Linked DNA regions of Canis lupus familiaris. The protein of the gene in region 2 purifies or fractionates together with the protein of the main gene of each other region. This does not show direct contact. Links are inferred from orthologs where the notes say so. Each region holds a gene or a part of one and is shown on either strand. Other genes may lie near its edges.

Evidence for each region.
Region 1: the proteins of USE1 (region 2) and NAPA purify together in Homo sapiens (affinity purification with mass spectrometry; 3 studies listed by BioGRID and IntAct, counting the BioPlex papers as one, with this or other methods). This does not show direct contact. The link is inferred for Canis lupus familiaris from reciprocal best matches to the Homo sapiens genes USE1 and NAPA.
Region 3: the proteins of USE1 (region 2) and BNIP1 purify together in Homo sapiens (co-immunoprecipitation; 4 studies listed by BioGRID and IntAct, counting the BioPlex papers as one, with this or other methods). This does not show direct contact. The link is inferred for Canis lupus familiaris from reciprocal best matches to the Homo sapiens genes USE1 and BNIP1.
Region 4: the proteins of USE1 (region 2) and STX18 purify together in Homo sapiens (co-immunoprecipitation; 4 studies listed by BioGRID and IntAct, counting the BioPlex papers as one, with this or other methods). This does not show direct contact. The link is inferred for Canis lupus familiaris from reciprocal best matches to the Homo sapiens genes USE1 and STX18.
Region 5: the proteins of USE1 (region 2) and SCFD1 purify together in Homo sapiens (affinity purification with mass spectrometry; 3 studies listed by BioGRID and IntAct, counting the BioPlex papers as one, with this or other methods). This does not show direct contact. The link is inferred for Canis lupus familiaris from reciprocal best matches to the Homo sapiens genes USE1 and SCFD1.

Annotation. Positions count from the first base shown.
Region 1 is NC_049222.1:109,233,807-109,237,684, reverse strand, and holds part of NAPA (alpha-soluble NSF attachment protein), read right to left. Parts: intron 2,925-3,878; coding exon 2,847-2,924; intron 2,590-2,846; coding exon 2,534-2,589; intron 2,427-2,533; coding exon 2,342-2,426; intron 1,503-2,341; coding exon 1,398-1,502; intron 320-1,397; coding exon 251-319; intron 1-250. UniProt on the Homo sapiens protein: Required for vesicular transport between the endoplasmic reticulum and the Golgi apparatus. Together with GNA12 promotes CDH5 localization to plasma membrane.
Region 2 is NC_049241.1:45,915,936-45,920,990, forward strand, and holds USE1 (vesicle transport protein USE1), read right to left. Parts: upstream 3,410-5,055; 5' UTR 3,379-3,409; coding exon 3,238-3,378; intron 2,913-3,237; coding exon 2,863-2,912; intron 2,706-2,862; coding exon 2,627-2,705; intron 2,538-2,626; coding exon 2,385-2,537; intron 2,124-2,384; exon of another isoform or gene 1,871-2,123; coding exon 1,858-1,870; exon of another isoform or gene 1,418-1,857; coding exon 1,390-1,417; exon of another isoform or gene 1,085-1,389; coding exon 910-1,084; exon of another isoform or gene 673-909; coding exon 490-672; 3' UTR 473-489; downstream 1-472.
Region 3 is NC_049225.1:40,179,299-40,183,725, forward strand, and holds part of BNIP1 (vesicle transport protein SEC20), read right to left. Parts: intron 1,722-4,427; coding exon 1,620-1,721; intron 838-1,619; coding exon 719-837; intron 508-718; coding exon of another isoform or gene 437-507; exon of another isoform or gene 408-436; intron 1-407. UniProt on the Homo sapiens protein: As part of a SNARE complex may be involved in endoplasmic reticulum membranes fusion and be required for the maintenance of endoplasmic reticulum organization. Also plays a role in apoptosis.
Region 4 is NC_049224.1:70,427,000-70,431,426, forward strand, and holds part of STX18 (syntaxin-18), read right to left. Parts: intron 3,087-4,427; coding exon 2,971-3,086; intron 1-2,970. UniProt on the Homo sapiens protein: Syntaxin that may be involved in targeting and fusion of Golgi-derived retrograde transport vesicles with the ER.
Region 5 is NC_049229.1:10,128,223-10,132,649, reverse strand, and holds part of SCFD1 (sec1 family domain-containing protein 1), read right to left. Parts: intron 3,016-4,427; coding exon 2,926-3,015; intron 1,047-2,925; coding exon 991-1,046; intron 1-990. UniProt on the Homo sapiens protein: Plays a role in SNARE-pin assembly and Golgi-to-ER retrograde transport via its interaction with COG4. Involved in vesicular transport between the endoplasmic reticulum and the Golgi.

The DNA.
Region 1 (3,878 bases), on a different chromosome or scaffold from region 2:
AGTCCCATGTCAGGCTCCCGGCACGGAGCCTGCTTCTCCCTCTGCCTGTGTCTCTGCCTCTCTCTCTCTATGTCTATCATAAATAAATAAAAATAAAAATTAAAAAAAAAAGAACCCTCCCTAGTTGGTGATTACGGTAGGTAAGGAGAACCTAAGACTCCAGGTGTCCTCTGCCCCAAATCCTGGCTGAGTCTCCAGGCCCAGAGACAGGGAAAGGGTGGGGAGAGGGTGCTGAGCACCCAGCACTCACTTTCATCAGCGTGCACTCCCGGGAACCAGAGAATGCGGGGAACAGCTCCTCATACTTCTGCACAGCGAGCTGGACATCACGAGGGTGGAAAAGAAGAAGGAAGGAAGGAAGGGGACAAGCTAATGAAGACGGGCCACTGGAGCCACTGGCCTGACAGCCAAGGGGATCTGAGACACCTGGCCCCAGGCAGTGCTCTGCGCCCCTCTCCCTCCCCCTCCCCCAGTGTCACCTGGCTCTGTGCCTGGAGGGTACTTCCCTGGGGCTGTACTTGGCCAAACCTGGCTGCAGAGACAGCTTGTGTGGAGGAAGTGTGGGGAGGGGCTCCTAGGCCAGTGCCCAGGGCAGGGCACAAATGACAGCTGCCTCCTACGAATACATCCTACAGGGCAGGGCTGGTGCTGGGTACTTCTTACATTTAACCATCATGTGGACCCAGGGAAGGTGGAATGAGTGACCCCCATTCTGAAAGATTTGCTCAGGGCACAGGGTATATGGGGGCAGGGATGCGAACCAGCCTGAGGCCGAGCCTGAGCGAGCTCTTACACGCAGCCAGTGGGAGCAGGGGTGGTGGTGGGGCTCAGACACTCCATGTGGCGGAGGGCACGGTGGCTGGAGACCCCAGGAAATGTGGAACCCTGGAAGACTCCAGCTCCCTGCCCCCAGCAGTTCCCCACCCCCTCGCCCACCACTCACCCCTGTCTTGCCAAACAGCCCTCAAAAGGGGTGGTGTGGACACGCAAACTATGGTTCAAATCATGACACTGGGAGTCAGAAAGATCTGGAATCCAGCCATGTGACCTTGAATAAGGGTCCCTGTGTCTTAGCCTCAGTGTCATCATCTGTACAACAGGTGACAGTGGTGTTGACCTCGAGGGATGCAGCAAAAACTCAAAGTGTGCTCTCCCTCACTGGCACCAAGTAAGTGAGAAGCTGGATAAACTCAAAAGCTACAGACACTGGGCAGGTGACACCTGGGACAGGAGCACATCGGCGAGAACAAGCATTTCCTGCCCACAGCTGACAGGCAGGTGCTGGACATGAGGGAGGGCTCACCCCTATTAAGGGATCTAGTGATAAACATGGTGCACCACGGTGGTCACTGGGAGGTGGGGGACGCTCTGGGTGGTCCGACTGGGCCCCAGCTCACCTTGGCATTGAGCATGTCAATGCAGAAGTGACAGAGGGCCGCCTTGAAGAAGTAGTCCTTGGCGCTGTACTTGAGGAGGGGGCTGTCCATGGCATTGGTCCCCACCTGTGGAGGTGCGGTGGTGGCACTATAAGCTTGGGCAGGCAGCCAGAGAGCCAGGGTCACTGAGAGGCACCGGGGGGCCGGCTGGGAGCCTCATCTGTGTCCCGGATGAAGCCCCATCAACCCGGGACCCGAAGGGCAGGGAGGCCAAGGGCCAGCCCCAGGAAGTCAGCCGGTGGTGTGTGGGTAGCCAAAGACCAGGGTATGGCAGGGGGCGAGTGCTGTCACAGGGCCAAAGCCCGGTGTCGGTGGGCTCCCCCCACCCCCTGAGATGGTGGGGAGGAGGCGGCCCCGCTGTCAGGCCCTACAGGAGGCTGGCACGTCGGTGGGCAGAGGGGCGGCAGGCTGCGGGAACATGAGAGGTGGCACCCGCCCCCTACTCCTCCGGGGCCAGCTGCCTGCCTTTCTCTTGGCCAAGCTGAACCCACCAGGACCGCCCAGCCTTCCCCACACAGCCCAGGGGAGCCTGCGCCCCCACGTGATGCTCCCTCCCTGTCACTCCCATGGTGTGTGAAGGACGAGCTTTCTGACCCCTCCCTGTGGGCTCCTCAGCTCCCTCTGGCTACCCCAGGCCTTAAGGATTCTCTTCCCACTCCCTCTGGGCCCCCAGGCCCCCCCAGGAAGCTTTCTGTGAGAAGCATACAGGGAGAGGGTGGGGACTCCCTGTGGGGTTGTGGGTGGTGAACTGTTTAGCCAGTGAGGACAAGGGGAGTGCCAGGATGGTGATGGAGGGGAGGGGAGAGGTGGCCAGGGGGAGGGAGGGAGCACTGTGCAGATGATGGGACATCAGGAAAGGGCAAATGGGGTGCAGGGCCCTCCCCCAGAGCCCTGGCTGTCCCCACCTGCTCATAAATGTCAATGGCCTTCTGATACTGCTCCAGCTGTGCGGCATAGCCAGCCACCTTCAGCAGGCACTTATTGGCTGAGCTGTAAGGGTGGGCGGAGGAGACAGAGGTCAGTGGTGGCTGGCCTGGGGGCTAAGGGGTGGGGTGGGGTGGGTATAGGGAAGGGGGAAGGGTGCCCACAGCCGGTACCTGTTGGACTCCTCTCCTTTGTAGTAGTCTGCAGACTGCTCATAGTGGGCGATGGCCTGGGGAGACACGGGGAGAGGCAGGGCGTGAGGAGGTGGCAATGTGACCTTGATCCACCATAGGGCCGGCCCTGCCTGGGCCACAGCAGGAGCCCTCTACCCAAGTTCTGTCGGTGCGCCACACCCCCTTTCTGGTACTCAGACACCAGAGGATGCCTCAGGTGGAGAGAGCAGACAGACAAGCCCCAGTCTGAGGAGACAGGCTGCTGCAGTCCTCCCCCACTGTCAGCCAGGCAGGGCCACCGACTGCCACTCACCTTCTCGATGTCCACCAGCTCCGTCTCATAGATCTCAGCAATGGAGATGTGGTGCTTGGCCGCGATCGTGAACCGGCCCTGGGTGGGACACAGGAAGGGGTCCTTTTTGATGGAGTAATGTTCCCAGCGTCCCACTTGCCCCTCCTTGTTCTTCTGGGCCCCCAAAACCAGTGGGTTCCTGCACCTCAGTCACACAAATGAGGCATGTACAAGAGGGTACCGGGAGACTGAGGGGCACAGGCCTCCAATGGGAGGCTTCACTGAGCCCTGATGGGGTGACCTTGTCACACCCCTCCACATTCAGCCTCCGGGTTTCTCCTGTCCACAGGGATACAGGTTGACGAGGCAATGCCAGAGGTAATGGGGCCCAGGTACCAGGCAGAGGGCCTGGCCTGGGGACAGATGGCCCAGAGAGGGGGAAAGACCAGCCTAGAATCACCTGTAAACACTCTGGAGAAACCAGGCTGACAGCCCAGGCATCCCTACTGCGGAGGGGACAGCCTTCCTAAGCCTCCCCTTGCCCCCAATGTGGCCATGGAGGCCGCCCCACTGACAGGCCAACCCCCAGCTTCCCCCATTGACACGATGGCTCTCCCCAAGGAAGCCTCTAGCTCTCTAGCTTCCAGAGGGGCTGAGCCCCCCAGCCTCCACCCGGTGGGCGTCCAGGCGCCAGGCTGCCCACTCGGCACGCAGGGCTGCTCCACAGCCCCTGCCCCTGCCGAGGGACATCAGGAAAGGGCAAAGCTCTGAGCTCAGCAAGGCCTAGTTCTGGGTCTCAGCAACTTCTGCTTGTGGGCATGTGTCCCTGGGCAAGTCACATCACTCATCTGGGCCCCCCTTTTCTGTCACATGGAGGACGGCCCCCACCCCGCAGGGCTATCGAAGGGGAGGATTAAACCACTCAGCTGACAATGTCGGGTTCAACAGATGGTAGTGGCTATCACTGTGCTCACTACAATATTTCAGTATTGCCCGGGGTCTGTCAGGGGGCGGGACTGTGTTCCCGCCTGGGGATGGGACCTGAAGAGACAA
Region 2 (5,055 bases):
CACAGACCCTCGTGTGTTTGTTGAATGGCTTGGTGAAGGCTCTCTAGTTTCCTGAGAGCTCAGGTTGTGGCTGGACTAAGTCCTGTCTCTGAATTCTCACCTTCAGTCGCAAGCAAGGCCCAGCACTGACGCTCTCTCCTCCAGGCTGACGTCCAGAGGTATCCCCATTCCCCTCCCACCCTCCGGGCTTCACCGCAACCGGACAGGCTGAAGGCACCGTGTCTGGCTCTGACCCTACCAGCCGGGGGCTCCTGTGTCTTCTTGGAACGTGGCCTTTTTCAGTGTGGGGTAGGTACCACGGAGGGACTGAAGGGGGGGTATTGCTGGGTCACTACTCCTCCCAGACTGACCTTTCTCTCCTGCTCATGCGTTCCCCGTGGCTCTCAGGAACCTGCAAAGAGCCTCCGTATTGTTGTCCAGCCCAAAGGGCAGCCCTGGACACGGGTGGAGGGAAGACAGAGGCTAGACAAGCTGGGCCAGCACAGGTCTTTATTTGAGTTTGGGCATGATGCGAATGAAGAGGATCATGCTGATGAAGATGAAGCAGACGATAATAAGCATGGCCCAGAGCAGCCAGTTGACCGACTTCTGTGTGTGCTGCTCCAGCCGCTCCGATTCGGTCTTCAGCTTCTCCAGGTTCTGGTCAGCCATCTTGAGGGAGTGTGACAGGGTCTGTGGGCGAGGTGGGGAGGTCAACGGGACTGTGGCCAAGTGTGGCCTCTCCCTGCCGCCTGGGGGCAAGTCTGCTCCTCTTGGCCCTTGCTAGTACTATGTTCTCTGCTGGGGGGTCCACGTCTGCCTTCTGTCAAACTTCTATCATCTGAGAGCCCTGGCCACGAGGCCCCTCTGCTGGGGAGCCATCTCTGGTGTCCCCGGGCAGAGGCTAGGAAGTTCCCCCGGCCCTCACACCTGGTTGTCCTTCTTAATGACGCTCTGGGCGGCCAGCGTGTTGCTCTTGAGGCTCCTTGCCAGGCCCAGCATCTCCTCCGCCAGCTTCTCCTGGAGGTCCTGATGCCGCTGCAGGACGACGTCTAGCTCGGCTGCTGACTGTTTCTCATCCCCTGATCTGGGCCCTGCCACCCCGCTGACCTCACACAGAGGTGGACGGGTGGGCAGGAGACAGGGTGGAGGAGTGGGAAGAGACCAACACATTCCCAGGGAGCCCAGAGGTTATGGCTCCAGCCCCTGCCCTGCGTAGGGTTCCGTTTCCCCTTCTTCACTTTGGCTTTTTGGAAGAGCATCCCCAGAAGTGGCTTCTGATCGGTGATTTAGATGCTTGCGGGGGCCTTCATGGTTTGGTGCCTCAGTGGTCCCAGGTTCATCCCGCCCCACCCTCCACCCTCCACCCTTCCCATCCCCGTGCTCCCCCCAAGGGCTGAAGACACTCACATTCTCTTCCTCACATCCAGCTTGGGCTCTGGAAGCAAAAAAGGCCAAGCAGGAAGAAGGAGAAGATTGGTTTCCTGTTTCCCAGCTTCCTGATGGTTGCTTGTGATGTGTCTGCTACTCATCATGTCGTTTCCTGTCTTATCTGCTTCCCAGCGAGCTCCTGATCATGCTTCAAAGCTCTAGCTCAAAAGTCCTCTCTTCTAAGCAGTTTTCCTCACTTCTATTTGGGCTCTCCCAGGCCCCAGGCCCCCTCTGTTGGCTTACCCTTGGCCCTGCGGCCTGGGGGTATCCAGCTTTCTTCCCTCTGGGGGCCAGCTCCTCTGTCCTGGCATCCCCATCAGGCACAGCTAGGTGACACCCCTGGGGCTACACTCCCTGGGCTGTGGGAGACCCCAGGGGAGCCAGGCGCAGGATGTGAGGCAGCGTGACAATTAAGCCTCAAGTCCTGTTTTACTCAGGGTGACTCACCTCCAGCAGAATCCTATGGGAAAAAGGGAGAGCCATGAAGTCACCTGCCTTGTCCTGCACCCCAAACTATCCTTTCTGCTCTCAGACTCTGCCCCCACAACCCCCCGCCGGCAAGTCCCATGACCTCAGGATCTCAGTTTCTTCATATTTTGAAGGGTTTAGCTGATCCACATAAAAGGCTCAAAAAGACACTTGCCGTCCTATTTTGCAGATGGAAAAACTTGTCTATTTGTGGCAAGATGAGATAAAGTCATGTAACTGGCAAACTCATCTGATGCTCTGGGCCAACTCTGGGGTGCCAACTAGACAGGCACCATTTTTGCCTCGGACCAAACTCCTATCCATCTAGCAAAGTCCTGGCTCGGCCTTTCTTGATGGCCCAGGGCAGAGGCTGTTGGGCTCCCTAGTGTCCCTATGCCTGCCAGCATTTGTTGTTCTGGCCACACCCAGGCACTAAACTATCCCTGACCAGAGGGACCAGGGACCAGGGACCAGGGACCAGGGACCAGGGAGGAAGGCAGCCCTACCGTGCCTAGCAGCTCATTCCTCATTTCGCTAGTGTATCGTGCCCGTGACTGCAGATGCACCGTCTTCGTGGCAGGCACCCGCTCCCTGGCTGTGGTTGGTACGCGGCCAGGGGCCAGGAACTGGTTGGCTAGTGCCTTCTCTGAGGCAGAGGTCTGCAGAAGGGGGAAGAGGGGTCACCGGAGGGGCAGGTCCACGGCAGGGAGTGTGATGAGGGCTGAGGAAGTAGAGCACCCCTGCTCACCAGCTTCTCTGCCTGCAGCATCCCCTTCAGGAAATCCACCTTGCGGGAATATTCATTGATCACCTCAGAGGCTGGTTTGCTGGAAGGTGAGAAGAGGAAAAAGAAAACCTGTCCACTGTCTCTAGTTCCGGGAAGGATCTCAGCAGGGGCTGGAGCCCAGGGATTCCCTGACAGGAGCTGGCCCTGGCCCTGATTCCCATCCCAGATTTGAAGCCCCTGTAGCCACCTGCACTCACCTTGCTTGGGCTTTCAGGGCCTGCAGCATGTCCTCAAGGGCTCCCACGTACTGGGAAGGGAAAGTGGGGGTGTCAGCCTGGTCCCCCATACCCTTCCACTCCTCCCTCTCCTGCCCAAAGGGAGTGCTGTCAGGGCCAACAAGGGGCGGGGCCAGGATGGGGCGGGGCCTAAAGGGGGAGGAGACACGCGCCGAGGGGGCGGGGCCAGATGAACCCTAGGGAATGGGGCGGGCGCTGCAGGTGGACGTGGCGGACCGACCGGAAGGGGCGTGGCCAGAGCGGTTGTTGGGACGGGGGAGCGGGGCCCGGTGTCCGCTACCGCGGAGGCCACCCCCCGGAAGTCAAGCTCCACTTGACAGTGCAGATTTCCCTCACCTTCTCCAGACGCCACTCTTCCGGGTCCCGCTTCTCCGCTGCCATCGCCTCGCAGCGGCACAGCAACCGCACTAGGTTCAGCTCCAGCCTCGACGCTGCCATCATCTCCCGGCCGTACCCTGCCCCTTCCGCCGGCGCCATCTTGGAGAAGGGCGGAAGTGCCCTCTTTGGGCCTCTTCCGGGCGCGTCCGCCACTCGTTCGCTGTTGCGTCTTGGGGGCGGAACTAATGTGTTTTTTGGGGGCGGGGGGGGACTAATGTGTTGTTTTAGGGAGAGGCGCTGTACTGTCCGTATCTACTCGAGACTAGATGGCGTTTTCCCCTCTCAAGCGTCTTAACCCGTCCGGAGGGGTTAAACGGACCCGGTCCATTCGTCGCTCACGCCGTCTCCAGCTCGGTTCTTCCCACGCCGAGCTCTCCCGTACCCCGGCAGCCCTACCCGGTTCTTGCCTGGGTACGGCCTGGGATGCAGGAATCCGAGGCTTAGGGGCCCATCCAGAGTTTACGGTTATGAGCTTCCGGCCCTGACACCGACTCCATCCCCCCCACCGCAGAGGCCCTGAGGAAGTTTATTTTCTGGGCCCGGTTCCTTCTTTGGGAAAGGTACAGTGTGACAAAGCCTGCCTCAAGGGGGGACATTAGCTCTCGGGGTGAGAGGTGGGACAGTCAGACCCTCATGGAGAGAACCCCACCTGGGTCCTCAGGCAGTCAAGGCCCATCCTGTGACCTCCCTGCACCCCTTGGCCTGCGGAGGGCAGGGTAGGGGTTGGAACGTCAGAGGTACTGGAGCTTGGCTGGCAAGCAGCACTCATCCATCTTCCACCCCTGACGTCACCTGTGTCCTGGTCACACCAGTGGGCTTGGTGTCTTCGCAAAATACTATGTAGGAGACTAAACCCAGGGTGAATGAAATAGGGCACTAGAGGCAGCCTGGGCAGGCTCTGAATCCCAGCCCTGCCCCATCCCAAATGTGTGGCCTCGGACAAGCCTCCCAGCTCTTTCTCGTGTGTCACATGGACTAGGGTTCTTCACTGTCCACCCCCCGCCAGCCCCATGGGCCCCACCTGCCAGCAAGTTCCCACAGCTGCCCATCTTACTGCAGACTGGGAGCTGGTCTGAGAGGGGATGGTGGGGGTGGGGATGGGGTGTGTACCTTCTGGCTCTGGTGGGCCCACTGGGAACTGATCTCTTCATAATGAGATGACCCTTTTAGCTGACATTTAAGTCTTAAGTAGGGGTAGGGTGGGTGCTAAAACATGGCAACAGGAGGCAGTCCCCCCACCCCCCGGCCCCATTTCCAGATTAATAAATAAGCACCTCCAGCAAGCACACCACTCCAGAGTGAGGAGTAATGTGAAATTCCAACAGCAGTGTTTGCTGGGGGCGGGGGGTGTCAAGGCAGGTCCTCCCCGACAAGGGACATAGCCCCTTGCCCTGCATCTGTCTTGGCTGAAGCCACAGGGTGGACCACCCCCACCTGCCAGCCCCTCCTCCCCCAACTGACTCTGAACCAGTCTGAGAGGAACTGCACACAAATACCTTTCAGGCACTTTTTATTTTGCACGGCTTGCGGGGCACCCGGGGCACCCACCTCTCATCCCAGACCTGTGGCCATGTGTCTGGGGAGTGAGCCAAGCCTAAGAGAGGGGAAGCCCAACTCCGGAGAGCCCCAGGCTGTCACTGTTGTCCAGTAGGAATGTACAACCTTGCCCTCCCTGCCTGTGAGTGGTCCTGAGTCGCGGCTCCTGTTTGCCACATGGAGTGGGCAGTGTGCCGAGGGCAGCCTCCTCCAGCCTCCTGAGTCCAGGGCATGGTGGAC
Region 3 (4,427 bases), on a different chromosome or scaffold from region 2:
CGTGCAATCTGCGTACCATGACACTTTTGTCCCTTTATAAATCTTCCAAAACTATTTCAGAGAGTAAACACTCTCTTCTGTTTTCTTATGCAGAGGACCCTGAAAAGGGCCAATTCTCTTCTGTATCACAAGGGAGACACCACGGGAAAGCTGCTGGAGAGAACCAGATGCTCAAGCACCTTCTTTTGTGGCCTCTGATTGCATCTTTTAAAAGGAGCTTACAGCAAAAATAACACTGGGGAGTATTAATTATAAGCTGAGGCCCTTGCAGACTAGCCAGCAGCCGATACACTAAAACATCTTCCCAAGCAATGATTCCCCAACCTGCCTGGCCACATGGGTCCACAGAACTCCAGAGGAAAAAAAACAGATGCCCAGGCCCTTCCCCGAGTCCTGCTAGCACCTACTCTCCAGAAGGCCTGGGGATCTCGGCTTTTCACATGAGACCTTGGGAATGCTTCTGCTGGGGAAACATTTTGACGGGGGTGTGCAGATCTTGTAGTACAACTATAAAAACCAAAAAGAGAAGTAAGAGCAACATATCCCACCCCGGGCAATACCACAGTGTTGAAGAAGTGAGAAGCCACACAAGTCAGTAAGCTTGGGGATGAGGGTGGGGATGGGGACAAAGGTGGGAGAGCATGGTGGCAGGTGCCAGGACAAGGACTCTGGAACTGAAGTCTCTGGGAGAAGTTTCTAACTCCTGATCTGGCTTTACCTAGCGTCTGCATGGCTTCCTCGCTCTGCTGGACCTGCTGGGACATCATTCTGCTGATCCCCATGAGGCTCTCCGTGATGGCACTGGATGTCTGGGCCAGGCTCTCTTTGGTGGTTTTCCTAAAAGTCCAGAGTGGGATAGGCATGTCAACAAAAGCTGGCTATAAGACAACGCCCGTCTTCAAATGCGATCCCATTTTTTTAATCTATCAAAATAGCATATATATTTAAGTATCAATAATCACAGTCAATGCCAGCAAGGGTATGCTGACACCACACTCCTAAAGACTGCTAGTAGAAATGCAAACTGGCAATCTGGAAATAGTATTAGGAGCCTTAGAAACATTCATGCCTTTGGCCCAATAATGTCATCCCTGGGAATCTCTACAAAGGAAATACCCAAAATGTGGACAAGGCCTTATGTCCTAAGGTGTGCCCTTGTGTATTATTTACAATACTGACAAACTAGAAATGCAAACACACACAAACGGGGGATCAGCCAATACAAGGGAATACTAAGTACTCTTGAACCTTTGTTTAAAGAGTTTTCTAAAACAAGCAAGTCTTTGTGCTATAATACTATGTGAAGAAGAGCAGGGCGCTAAGTTTTATATACGGTAGGACTCTGTAAAAAAAAAAAAATGGTGGGAGGACACAATATATATCAAAATGTGTACAACACAATCACAGTATAGTTCATTTTGTCATCGACACCTTTATTTTACCAATTTATTACAAATAAGCCAGTATTTCTTTCATACTTTAAAAAATATTACCTATATAATAAAATTAATTACCAGTTTTACACTGAAAACAAGAAGGGCTTCCCTACACAGGTTTTGCACCTTGCCAATTGCTATCTGTTCTATCATTAGGGCCCAGAAAGACAAAAAGACAGATACCTTTGCCTTAAGAGGTCTCCTCCCTGGAGAAGTTCTGCTTTCTCTAGATTGTCGATAGCAATTTTGCAAGTGAGATTAGCCTTCCTCCATGAGGTCTGATTGCTGGAATCAGAAGGGTCTTGCATGAGTTTCTGTCAGATCAAAGAACAGAAGTTCTTCCTTCTGGCAAGGGAGTGATGGGAAAGGCCTCCCAGAGTGGCCTACAGAGTCATCCATCTCTGCCTCCCACCATTTCCTCCTCTTGGTTGCCCCGGCAACTGCTCCAGCTTAGGCTACACCTCTGGTCTCACCCTGCCCAGCCGCCTGTAGCTGTCCCTTTCCCTCCAGGGCAGCCAGAGGGAGCAGTCTGGCCACAGTACTTACTTCTGTGCTTACAGCCGGGCAAGGGCTTCAGACTTCAAACTCACCTTGGGCACTTGAGGCCCTGTTCTGTCCAGTTACCACTAACATTTTACCATTTTACCATGTTCTACCTTGTGTACTAGTTGGTTCCATTTCTTGAGGACCATATCTCACTCATTTTTGGATCACTAATACCTAGAACAACAGTCTCTGGCCCATTAGCCAATCAATAGATATTATGAGAAGTAGAAAAATCATAGGAAGGCAGTTTTCCTCAATATTTAAGTTTTTATTTAAAAAAATTTTATTTATTTATTTATTTATTTATTTATTTATTTATTTATTTATTTATTTATTTATTTATTTAGGAGAGAGAGAGCAAGAGCATGGGGAGGGGCACAGGGAGAGAGAGAAAAAATCTCAAGCAGGCTCCATGCTCAGCACAGAGCCTAACACAGGGCTGGATCTCGGGACCCTGAGCTCATGACCTGAGCCAAAATCAAGGGTTGGATGTTCAGCCTACTGAGCCATCCAGGTGCCCCTAAGTTTTCATTTAAATTCCAGTTAGTGGGACTCCTGAGTGGCTCAGCGGTTAAAGCATCTGCCTTTGGGTCAGGGCGTGATCCTGGAGTGCTGGGACCGAGTCCCACATCAGGCTCCTGCGTGGAGCCTGCTTCTCCCTCTGCCTATGTCTCTGCCTCTCTCTCTCTCTCTCTCTGTCTCTCTCATGAATAAATAAATTAAAATCTAAAAAAAAAAACAAAAAACAAATTCCAGTTAGTTAACATACAGTGAGTGTAATATTACTTTCAGGTGTACAATATAGTAACTTAACACTTTGGTTTTGCTCCATATTTCTTTAAGATTTGCTGTTCTTTACATACTCAGACCAATCATGAGCGAGATAAACACACTGTATTAGCAGTTTGATGTGATTTATTTACATTCTTTACCTGATCTCCCTCATGAGAGATAACTCAAATTTGATGAACAGCTCCCTGGGGTTAGCAGTGCAGCCTTTGTCAATGAACTATAAAAATGTTAATTGGGCCCCTAGGAGAATCAAACTCAAGCACTAGAACTCTTAGGCAGCTGGTTCACATCAATTGTGCTAACCCCTGAGATGTTTACCAAAGTCAAACGTGAACTGATACGGTATTTTTCTAAGAGTACCTCTGTGCTTAAAATGTAAAACGAGCTCTCTGTCACCAGAACAGCATCTGCTATGCCATTTCACACCTGATATTTTAAAAGAATCAATTACATATTTTAATTGTTAGCAAGGAAGTTCTGCTGGGCCCTGTGACACAGAGATGAATGAGCCATAGTGGCTGCCCTCAAGGGGCTCACATTTACTGGGGAGAAAGACAAACAAATATTTGCTGAATGGTGTGATAAGCACGAGAATCCAGGCAGGCGCAACTACTGTTTTCACACACAACTGCCAAAGTATTCATCTACTGCTTTCTCTCTCCCCTGTAACCCTACATCATGAATGGCCATTCTCAACTCCTAGCCATGCTAACTAAGCCCATTTTATCTGGTGTAACTTACTCTACTTTATACAAGGGGTCCTCTTTACTCAGTGTTTGTAATGTGAGTATCCTTGGTGGCTGAGGGAAGCAAACGCCATCATGACACAAAGTACTCCGACTGAGCCAAGCACTTTAACACTGGTGACCATGCACACATCCCTCCCTACTTATACTAGCCTCTACCATGCCCACATGTTTGTCAGTCTCCTCCTAAGGGCTGGGGGTCATAAACACAGTAGCTGCCTGCCAAGGATGATGCTGGAGAATTACTCACATTGAAGGCAAAACGAGAGACATACAGATCCAACAGAGTTAGAGCAAATTAATAAGGAGAAAGAGCAACACCTAGGAGGATGATGACTAACAGGGGCTTCAAAAGAGAATGACCTGGCTACCAGACGATGGGGAAAGTTGATGGAGCCGTTAAATTTTTTTTTTTTTGAGCCTTAAATATTTTTGTCACAACAACACTCTTTATGATTATGATACAAGTCACATGTGAAGGGACAGGTGCTGTTTCATGCCATCAGATAATTTTGTTGGAAAAGCCCCCCCCAATATCCAGAAATAGTGCATACTTCAATTATATAACCAAAGGTTAGCCCACTGCTACAATGATAACCACCGCTTTGTTTAACATAGCATAATCTTATTTACATTTTTTGTTTCATTTTTTAAGATAAAGTCCCACTCAAAGCTTTCTAAATTTTGGTCCATCTTAAGTAGGAACTTTTTCTAGTAGCAATTTCCTTACAGAAAAAGATGTTGTATTACAAAAGCAATCATTTTTTGGTTTTGTCCTAAAAATATAAAATATAGTATAATGGTAAATACGCTTTTGTAAACTATATACAATTTGACCTACCAACAACCCCTGCTTGTCCCTGCTTTGAGAACTACTGATCTAGAGAGGACATTCAGTTTGTGTAGA
Region 4 (4,427 bases), on a different chromosome or scaffold from region 2:
GGAGAGCAGGAAGCAAAGGCAACACTAATGACAACCCATACCCTCTGCCCCATACCCCTGGAAGGTAGGTCTCATCACCCTCATTTTAAAAATGAGGGAACTGGTGCTCACAGGTGCCAGGTGGTGCTAGAGTTGGGATCATGATGGCCTCAAAAGAGACTCTCTTCATACCGTCCTGTCTCCTATACAGGAATTAGGAGCTGAACTGGAGAGTTCGCTTTCAATATCTGGTGGGCTGGCTTCGTCAGGAGATAAACTCATGATTATAAAACAGCAAACACTGACTTTAAAATAGAAAATTTAAACTGTGAGGAAAAGGGTTCTTTCACTCTGGTGGCATATATCCTATTGCCCAGAGGCATTAGGTTCCTTTTATATCAGGAAACACTTCCACGGCAAGTGAAGGCAATGTTCCAGGTCACCTCCCTGCCTCCCTCCTCTCCTCCTTCCTCTTTCACTGTTTTCAGTGATTTACTGAGCACCTCCTATGTGTCAAGCATTGTCTGGGTGTCAGTGTTACAGCAGTGAACAAAACACAGAAATTCCTGTCCTCACGGGACCTCCATTTTAGTAGGGGAGACAGATCACAAAGGACAGACCCTAGTAAAACAAACAGAAGGGTAGTGGCACGTGCCAGGAAGAAGGAAAAAGCAGGGAAGACAGAAAGTAACTGGGAGCCTCAGGCCTTCATCCTCCCTTTATTCACCCTCATTCCTCACTCGGGGAAAGGGAAAGGGGGAGGGACCCCAGCCTGTCTCAGGGGATTGATGCTGCCTACAGACCTGCCCCCTGATCTCCAGACTTGTAAACCCCATTCCCTGCTCAACATCTCTACGAGGCACCTCAAAATTAATATGCCTGGCACTGGGTCCCTGGTCAAACCAATCTCCTGCACCACAGTGAAGGACAGCAAACTTCTCCCTTGTCAAAACCACCACAGCCTTCCCCGGCCCTTCCCTCCTGCCTGTCCCGTATACAGGAAGCAAATGCTGTGGCTCTACTTTAAAATGTAACCAGAATTCCAGCACTCTCCCTCCACTGCCTTGCTACCAGGCATGTCATGCTCCACCATTATCTTGTTTCTGGGTGACTTGAGCAGCCTCTTGTCTCTACTTCTCTTCTCCAAGAGAGCAACCAAAGGGGCTCTGCTCAAACACAGCTGGCTGTGAAGTGCTCTGTGCAAACCCCCCCATGGCTTCCCACATCCTTCAGAATAAAAGCCACAGTCCTCAAGCATCCTGGTACCTTGGTGTTTCCTTACTTGGTATCCCTCTGCCCTCTCCCCTTGCTCCCTAGCCTCCATGCTGCTCATCCACCAGGCCAGGCAGGCTCTCTTCTTGGGGCCTCTGCACTTCTGGTTTCCTCTGACTCTGACTCTTCCCCCAGAGAGACATAGGGTTCACTCCTCACTGCCCTTGGGTCTCTACTGAAACACCAAGCTCTCCAACCTCTCTGACAGGCCAAATCTCTCCTACAACCAGGACCCTCTATTGTATGGCACATACAATGATTGTATACATCTGTGTGATTATTCTATTAGCATCTGCTGGACTATGAGCCGAGGGGTCTTATTTTCTACTCACTACTGTCGCTAGCACCTAGCACAATGCCTAGCACAGCAACACTCAGTATGGGCTCAGGGCTCAGCAAGGGGAGAGAGTTCTTCACAGGGGATCTACCCTCAGCTGGGCCTTGAAAAATCTGTACTGGCTTCTCTCCATTATCATCAGCCCTAACAGTATTTCTGGAATGAGTGAGTGGACGAATATGCTGTGTCTGCCATGAGTAAGTTTGGGAGTAAATGAGGGAGACAGGATATCCCTATGTGTTATCTTATGAAAAGCTGGGCTCCCTTAGGTCATGAGTGATGTCTGTGCCAGTCCTCTGGCCCATGGGGTCAAAGTAGCCAGCAGAAAAGATAGGCTCAGGCCCCAAAAAAGTACTGCCCCTTTCTTGGTTTTGATTTTGAACAGGTTATATAATCTCTTCCAAGCTCAATTTCCTCACATGTAAAATGACGATAGCACCACCTCAAAAGACCCAATGAGACCCAATCTGCTGCTGAAGCCCCTGCATGAGCCCAGCACACTGCAGGGCTCGCTTGAGCCTGGTCTCCCCACCTCTCCCCACTGACACTGTTCCCAACCATGGAGAGGGCCCCTGGCATCTTTCAGGTGCTCATTCCTACACTGTGTTCTGAATCAGATGGAGAGGCAGTACAGATCCGCATATAAATCCGAGTCTGCAATTCATGAGTTTTTAAGTTTCCCAGCCTCTCAAAGCCTTTCAGAAGGCTCATCAAAAACAGGACCACAAAACCCATCCCAAAGGGCTGCTCTAAGGATGGTGGTGGTGGTGTCTGTAAAGATTCAAGGCAGTGCCTGGCATCTGGGAGATGCACAGTAAATGACAGCCATTGTGGTAACATGGACAAGGGGACTGAGGAAGACACCCGGCCCCTGAGGCCTCAGCATGCTGTCATCCTGGGATTTACGCAAAGCAAAATCTTATGCCTGTTACACCTGAGACACAGCAAAGTAAGCATGTGCAGGCCACACAGGGTGGAACACAGGTTGGTGCTAACAGGATGCTGAGATCACGGGATAGGGCACCATGTGGAGGCAGGGGAGGCAGTGCCCTACCTTTCCTGAGACCAGCAGGCAAAATTCCCTGAGCACAAAGCTCTTACACTGCTCCTGGTTCTGAGTCCCCAGCCCCCACCCTAGTGGTACACAGCAACTCAGGCCCTCTCCCTGGACTCTGCTGTTCTTGGGTGACTGGAGGAATCCTCTTGCTCTGTCCCAACAGTTCCAACTGGGGTAGAAAAAAGGTTTCCCCTTCTGTGTTTCCTTTGCTTTATGAAAGTGCAAACATAAGATGTCTAGGACTGTGTTCCTTTTTCTGCTTTGTATTTTTGCCAATACATCATAAGCAAGAGATGGAAGGCAAGATTTTTATTTCAGTTCATACCTGGACATTCTTCAGTGACAGGTTTTTCTTCAGACTCTTGTGAAGGGGTCTGTGAAACTTTCTCAGAAGACGTGGATTCTCTTGTCTTTGTATGTGGTTCTGGTTCCAACTTAGATCTAAACAAATAATTAGCAATCATATACTTTGCTGACACAAGATTCTTTTCTGACAACAGAGGGAGTCACATGTGACCCCTGCACACGTGTCCTGTGCCCTCTGCCAAAGAGCAGAGTTGCTAACCAGCGGCCATCCCAACACACCTCCAGTGGGGCACTTATTAGAAGGAACCAGTGTCACCACCTGCAGGGAGTAGGGGAAGGGAGGAGAATGCAGCCAGTAGGTGCTGAAGGAAAGAATGCACACACCTGCCCCACATACTGACGCCGCACTTAACAGGTGTGTGACGAAGGCTGACTGTTGAACAAGTCCAGGAAGCTGGTTGTTTCACACCAGTGCAAAGTGTTGCTAAATACACACACACACACAAACACACACACACTCTATGTAGTATATATAAGTAATATCTTAAATAAGTTAACTATGAAAGTACAAGTCTTTAAATAGCCACCAGATGGAAGCAACTTGTCTCAGGAACCAAGGCCTCTGCCCTTGGCATCTGCCTCAGGGGTCCTCCTTTGGCTATACTAGTTTCTACTTTCAGGTCTATGCTCAATCTCACCTATTCAAAGAGGCCTACCCTGACTTTCCGATCTCAAACAGGCTCCCCTACATCACACTGTGCCGTAGCCCTTATCTTCTTCATAGCTATGAAGAGTCACCAGAGTCTCGGATGACTTGCTAGTTCACTTGTTTATTGCCTGCCTTGCTCTACTGGAGGGCACACTTGCAGAGCAGGGTCCTGGGCTATGGGCCATGGTCACTGCACAGCCCTGGGTCCTAGATGAGTGTCTGGCATTCAGTGTTTAATAAATACAGGTTGAATGAATGGATACCTTATAACGGTCAGTAACTAGTAAGAGAAAGAACTTGTTGATTATGAAACAATAAACCTTATTAATAGCTTTCCTGGAATCCATATAGCACTACAAAAATTATGGGCAGACTGCGAAAATGATCTATGATGCATTCCATATTACTAGCCAGGAAGCCTATAAATGAAAAAGAATAATGTAAATACTTATTAGGATGACGCTGTTAATGCCAACTAACATTTACTGTGGGCGTATCATGTATTGGGCATTTTTCTAAGCACACTATATGGATAAACTTATTTAATGCCATACATCCCTATAAAGTAGGTAATGGTATTAAAGACCTTCTTATAGAGGAGGAAACGGAGCTATATGGAAATTAGTATCCTGGGAGGAAACTCCCCCCAGGTTACACAGTCAGTACCTGGCTGGGCTGGCCGTGACTTAGGGAACCTACCTCAGAGGCATGCCCTTAACGGCTGCTCCATGGAAAGTAGATTCTATCCATCGTGTTCCATGAAAAGG
Region 5 (4,427 bases), on a different chromosome or scaffold from region 2:
TGATAATAACCCTTAAAGAAAAATTTCACAGAACCTTATATAGGATAATAAAACGTGTTATTATGAACACTGAGAACATAATGTGTTCTTAGTTTCATAAGTAAAAAACTTGCAACTTCTTTACAAAATAACAGATCTAAAATCTAAATATTTTAGTTTTTTTACTATTTCATATCATTATAACTTGGACTTGAAAAGATCAATACCTTTTCTATTGTGACTCAGGCCTGATTTCACTAACAATCACTTTTCACTGACTATTTTTATATTAGGTACAGGAACGATTTGCAGTAATGAGCCACTTTCTTACCCAATCATGACTCTGTTTTACAAAGAATGTCTCTATCTACTGACAGATCCAAGAGGCTCCAGAACAGAAATGGAATATGTGAAAGAAAGCAGCCCTCCATCAGTCAATGATTCATTTCAGCTAATAAAATTAAAAAATGTTAGTGTATCTTCCATCTTTCCATACTACTTGATCTTTCCTATTTTTTCTAATTTCTCTATTTACTCTTTAATCTTTAAAGCAAATTTTTGAATGCTCAATTTATATTGAATATTTTACTCCAATATAGTGGAAGAGCAAATGGCTTCATTTTAAAGTTATGATTGTCAAAAAAAAATAAAGTTATGATTGTCAATAAACATTTACTAAATGAAGTTAAATATAAAATGACCTGGGGGATCAAATAAGTATAAAAACTACTTGGAGAAACAAGGCAGAAAGAAAATATACATTTTAGTAAAAAAGAAACAGAGCTGGACTAGCATGTTGGAGTAAATCATTTTTCTCCACCCCATAACACTATACAATGATTACTTCTTATTTTTGGTGTAATCTCAATGTTGTAAAAAAGATTTGCCTTTGGTACTTAATATATGGCCCATAGCAATCATATACTTCATATTAACAAAAAGACTTGAGGTACTTACGGAAAACATTGATACAATGTTATTTGTCATCAATGGATATCTGTATGAACTTACCACTGCTACCATTTCCGCTGCTGTTCCTCTTGAACATCTGATTATAGGAACAGCACCTATTTTAACATTAGATGTTAGCAATGATTTTTAGCTTTCAATAACGGAAAAGAATGAAAAGAGCTTAATTTAGAAGCAAACTTCTAAAGGTAGTACTATTCTTGATTTTACAAATTAACAATGAAGGAATATAGTCTTGTTAAAAAAATAACTTAAAAGATAAAACATATCTTCCATTAATATGAAAGGTTCTAAAAGGTGGCCTCAGCTCATTACTGAATCAGCTCATTAGACCTCTTAATTTCTCTTTGTTTATTACTCCAAGTTTTATCAAAGGCTGAAATCCTAAAATGATAGAAAAAAATCCAATTGCATTGAATATCTCAGAAAACAAACTGAGAATACTGTAATCTTAACATGCTGAAACTGCTGCATTTTAGATTCTAAACAAAACGTTCAGTCAACTGCAAAAAATTGTAGAATATTAGCAAGTTTTATAAAACTGCTTTCTTCCAATGGCAAGTTATACATGCTTGTCATAAAAACTCTAAATAATGTTAGAAATGTATAAAGTTAACCCTTTGGTTCCAGCACCCTAAAATAAAATAATCCCCCTTGAGAATTAGATATGGATATTTTCAGATTATTTTTTACATGTAGTTTTAAATAAATGTATTTGTGAAGAGTACAAAAAATAGGATAAATTTTGTTCTTAAATTTGCCTTTTTCACTTAATCTCTGGTTGACATCCTTCTATGTCAGATGGGCAGTAATTTCAATTACTCTTGAAAAAATCACTTTCTGATATTCTATAAGAAAGCTTGCTTTAACACTTCCATGGTCTTTTATACTTATCTTTTTCAATCTACCTTTACCTTGAAAATATAACTATCGTTAAGAAAAAATAACCTTAATGTTCACAAAAACCCTTGCATTCAGTGAAATCTTGGAGAATATGTAGGATGGCAAAATAGAAAGGTTAATTATGTCAGTTTAATGACTAAAAATTGCATATACATGTGCTTTGTTTAAAACAACAGCAATAACAACCCCACTTGAAGGTACTAAAAATATTTGAAAGTGCAGAAAGTGCAGGAGGGTAAAATTTTGAAAGAAAAGATATATTTAAAAATTAAGATACATTTTTAACTAGCTTTTCTCTTGAGAGTACTTTCTAGTTTGCAAGGCACAGAAAAGAAAGAGCTCAAGCAGAAAACAGAAGAATCCAAGCCTGGCATTCAGGGCAGGATTTTTTAAAGGAGAAAATCACAAGGGAGGCCCAAACCTTGCATGCAAATTCTCTTCAAACTTCTGACTGTGGGGCAGCCCAAGTGGCTCAGCAGTTTAGCGCCACCTTGGGCCCAGGGCATGATCCTGGAGACCCAGGATTGAGTCCTACGTTGGCCTTCCTGCATGAAGCCTGCTTCTCCCTCTGCCTTTGTCTCTGCCTCTCTCTTTCTCTCTCTCTGTGTCTCTCATGAATGAATAAATTTAAAAAAAAATCTTAAAAAAAAAAAAAAAACTTCTGACTGTATCCTAAACTATTCATGGTATCTCCCTTCTCAATTTTCTCATTTGTGAAATAAAGAGAAACTTTAAAAATTTAGTGTAAGGATCACTTTAAATGGGGTTTTCAGTGTCTGCAAAATTAAAATTGCAATTAGAAGGTTTCTAAAGAGATCTACTAGTAAGAAACCATAAAAATCACACAATAGATACTGAACACAAAGTAGCTCTAAGTAAATTTAGATGTACCAAAAAAAGGTTTAAAATTCTGAGTACAGTGGATTAATAGTATACTAAATTTAGTGTTTTCTGGAACCTTGGGAGTGTGCCTTAACAGTTATATTTATCTCTATACTTAAAAGTGTATTTGAAATTCTTCCTAATAGAATATTAAACATTTTGAGAAATAACCAGAAAGATTTGAGGACCTACCCAGTGTAACAAAAAAGCAGAAGAGGCTGTCAACAATAGTGTCCATAACAGTTTCCATCTCTGTGTCTGTGATATCTGGTCTGTTAATGGCTAAAATAACATAAAGAGAAAAAACTTACCAAACTCTACGTCTTGATAACATTTGTAATACTCAAAAAGTAAAATTTTTTATGTTACACCTTTAAGTGAATAAATATCCATTAAAAATTATACCTCAAAAAAACTGCACAGCATTTCAGTATCTGTAGTACTGAACAGTATCAAAATCATAGTAGTGCTAAGAAAACAAATCTGCCATAAAAAGTATACAAAATTTTTGCCAGAGCAAGTAAAAAATATCATATTCCATACTTTCATTCACAAACACTAGATGGCCTCAAGAAACTACTGAACTTCTTACCCAAGTACTGCCAGAAAGGACAATGCCAATCAATTATTATAAGACCAGTGTCCCATATCATTTTTCTTGTATTGTAGTTAAGTTATATGAATTTCTTTTCTGATTACTATACTGTACCTAAGTGAGTTCCAAACTTCAGTGGGTATAAGAATCACTTTAGAAATATGAAAGAGAAAGTTTGTCCAGAATAAAAATTCAAGATTCTTAGCCTTTTCCTCTCAGGGATTCAATTCAATAGATCTGGATAATTCTAAGAAATCTGCAATTCTGATTAGCACCACAGATGACTCTTAGAGCTACATTAACAAAAACAAAAACACTGCTGTGAAGACTATACTTGACAAAGATATTGCTTTACTCCTCTCTCAGCTCTTACAATACTTATGCTTAGTATTTGACGAGTAGATGCTCAATAAACATTTGTTAAAAGATCAGACTAAAATATCTATATTTTTAATTTCCCAACACTCTGAATTTGGAAACAAACAAACAAAATTCAATATAACTTGTGATTATTATGAGAGGAAAACAGATTCCAGCCGTATATATCAAAGTGTTTAAAGAAAGTATGGGCCATCCAGAGAGCATAAAATAATAAGGAATTCAACCAGGCAATACAGAATCTGGATGAGGGAGGGTGCTGCTACTTGATGTTGCAGATTCAAATCAGAAGACAGAAATGGCTAAAAGATACAATGTGAATCATGTAAATTCAAGGGACACCAAACAAGGGAAATACTCAGCTCATTTTGTTAATCAATGGTACAGGTAAAATCCAAATGGAAGCCTTTAGCCCTTAGGTCCCTCCTACACCCTGGTCTCACACCTCTAAATCAGAACTAACCCAAAGGGTCAAAAAATTGTCCATCAATAACCTCAACTCACTTATGTTAACAACTTGGTTTGAGATAGTAGCCTGACTTTGGGAAGATAAAATCTGCTTCCTTTAAAAGGATAAATAAATTTCCAATCCATGAAAAGTAGGTGATATAAATAAAACCCACAATAATAACATGTTTGGGCTAATCTGCTTAAGATTATCAGTTAAAATACTTGTGATATTTGAGAGGATTTGGCACATAATTACATAATGGTTAAGAGC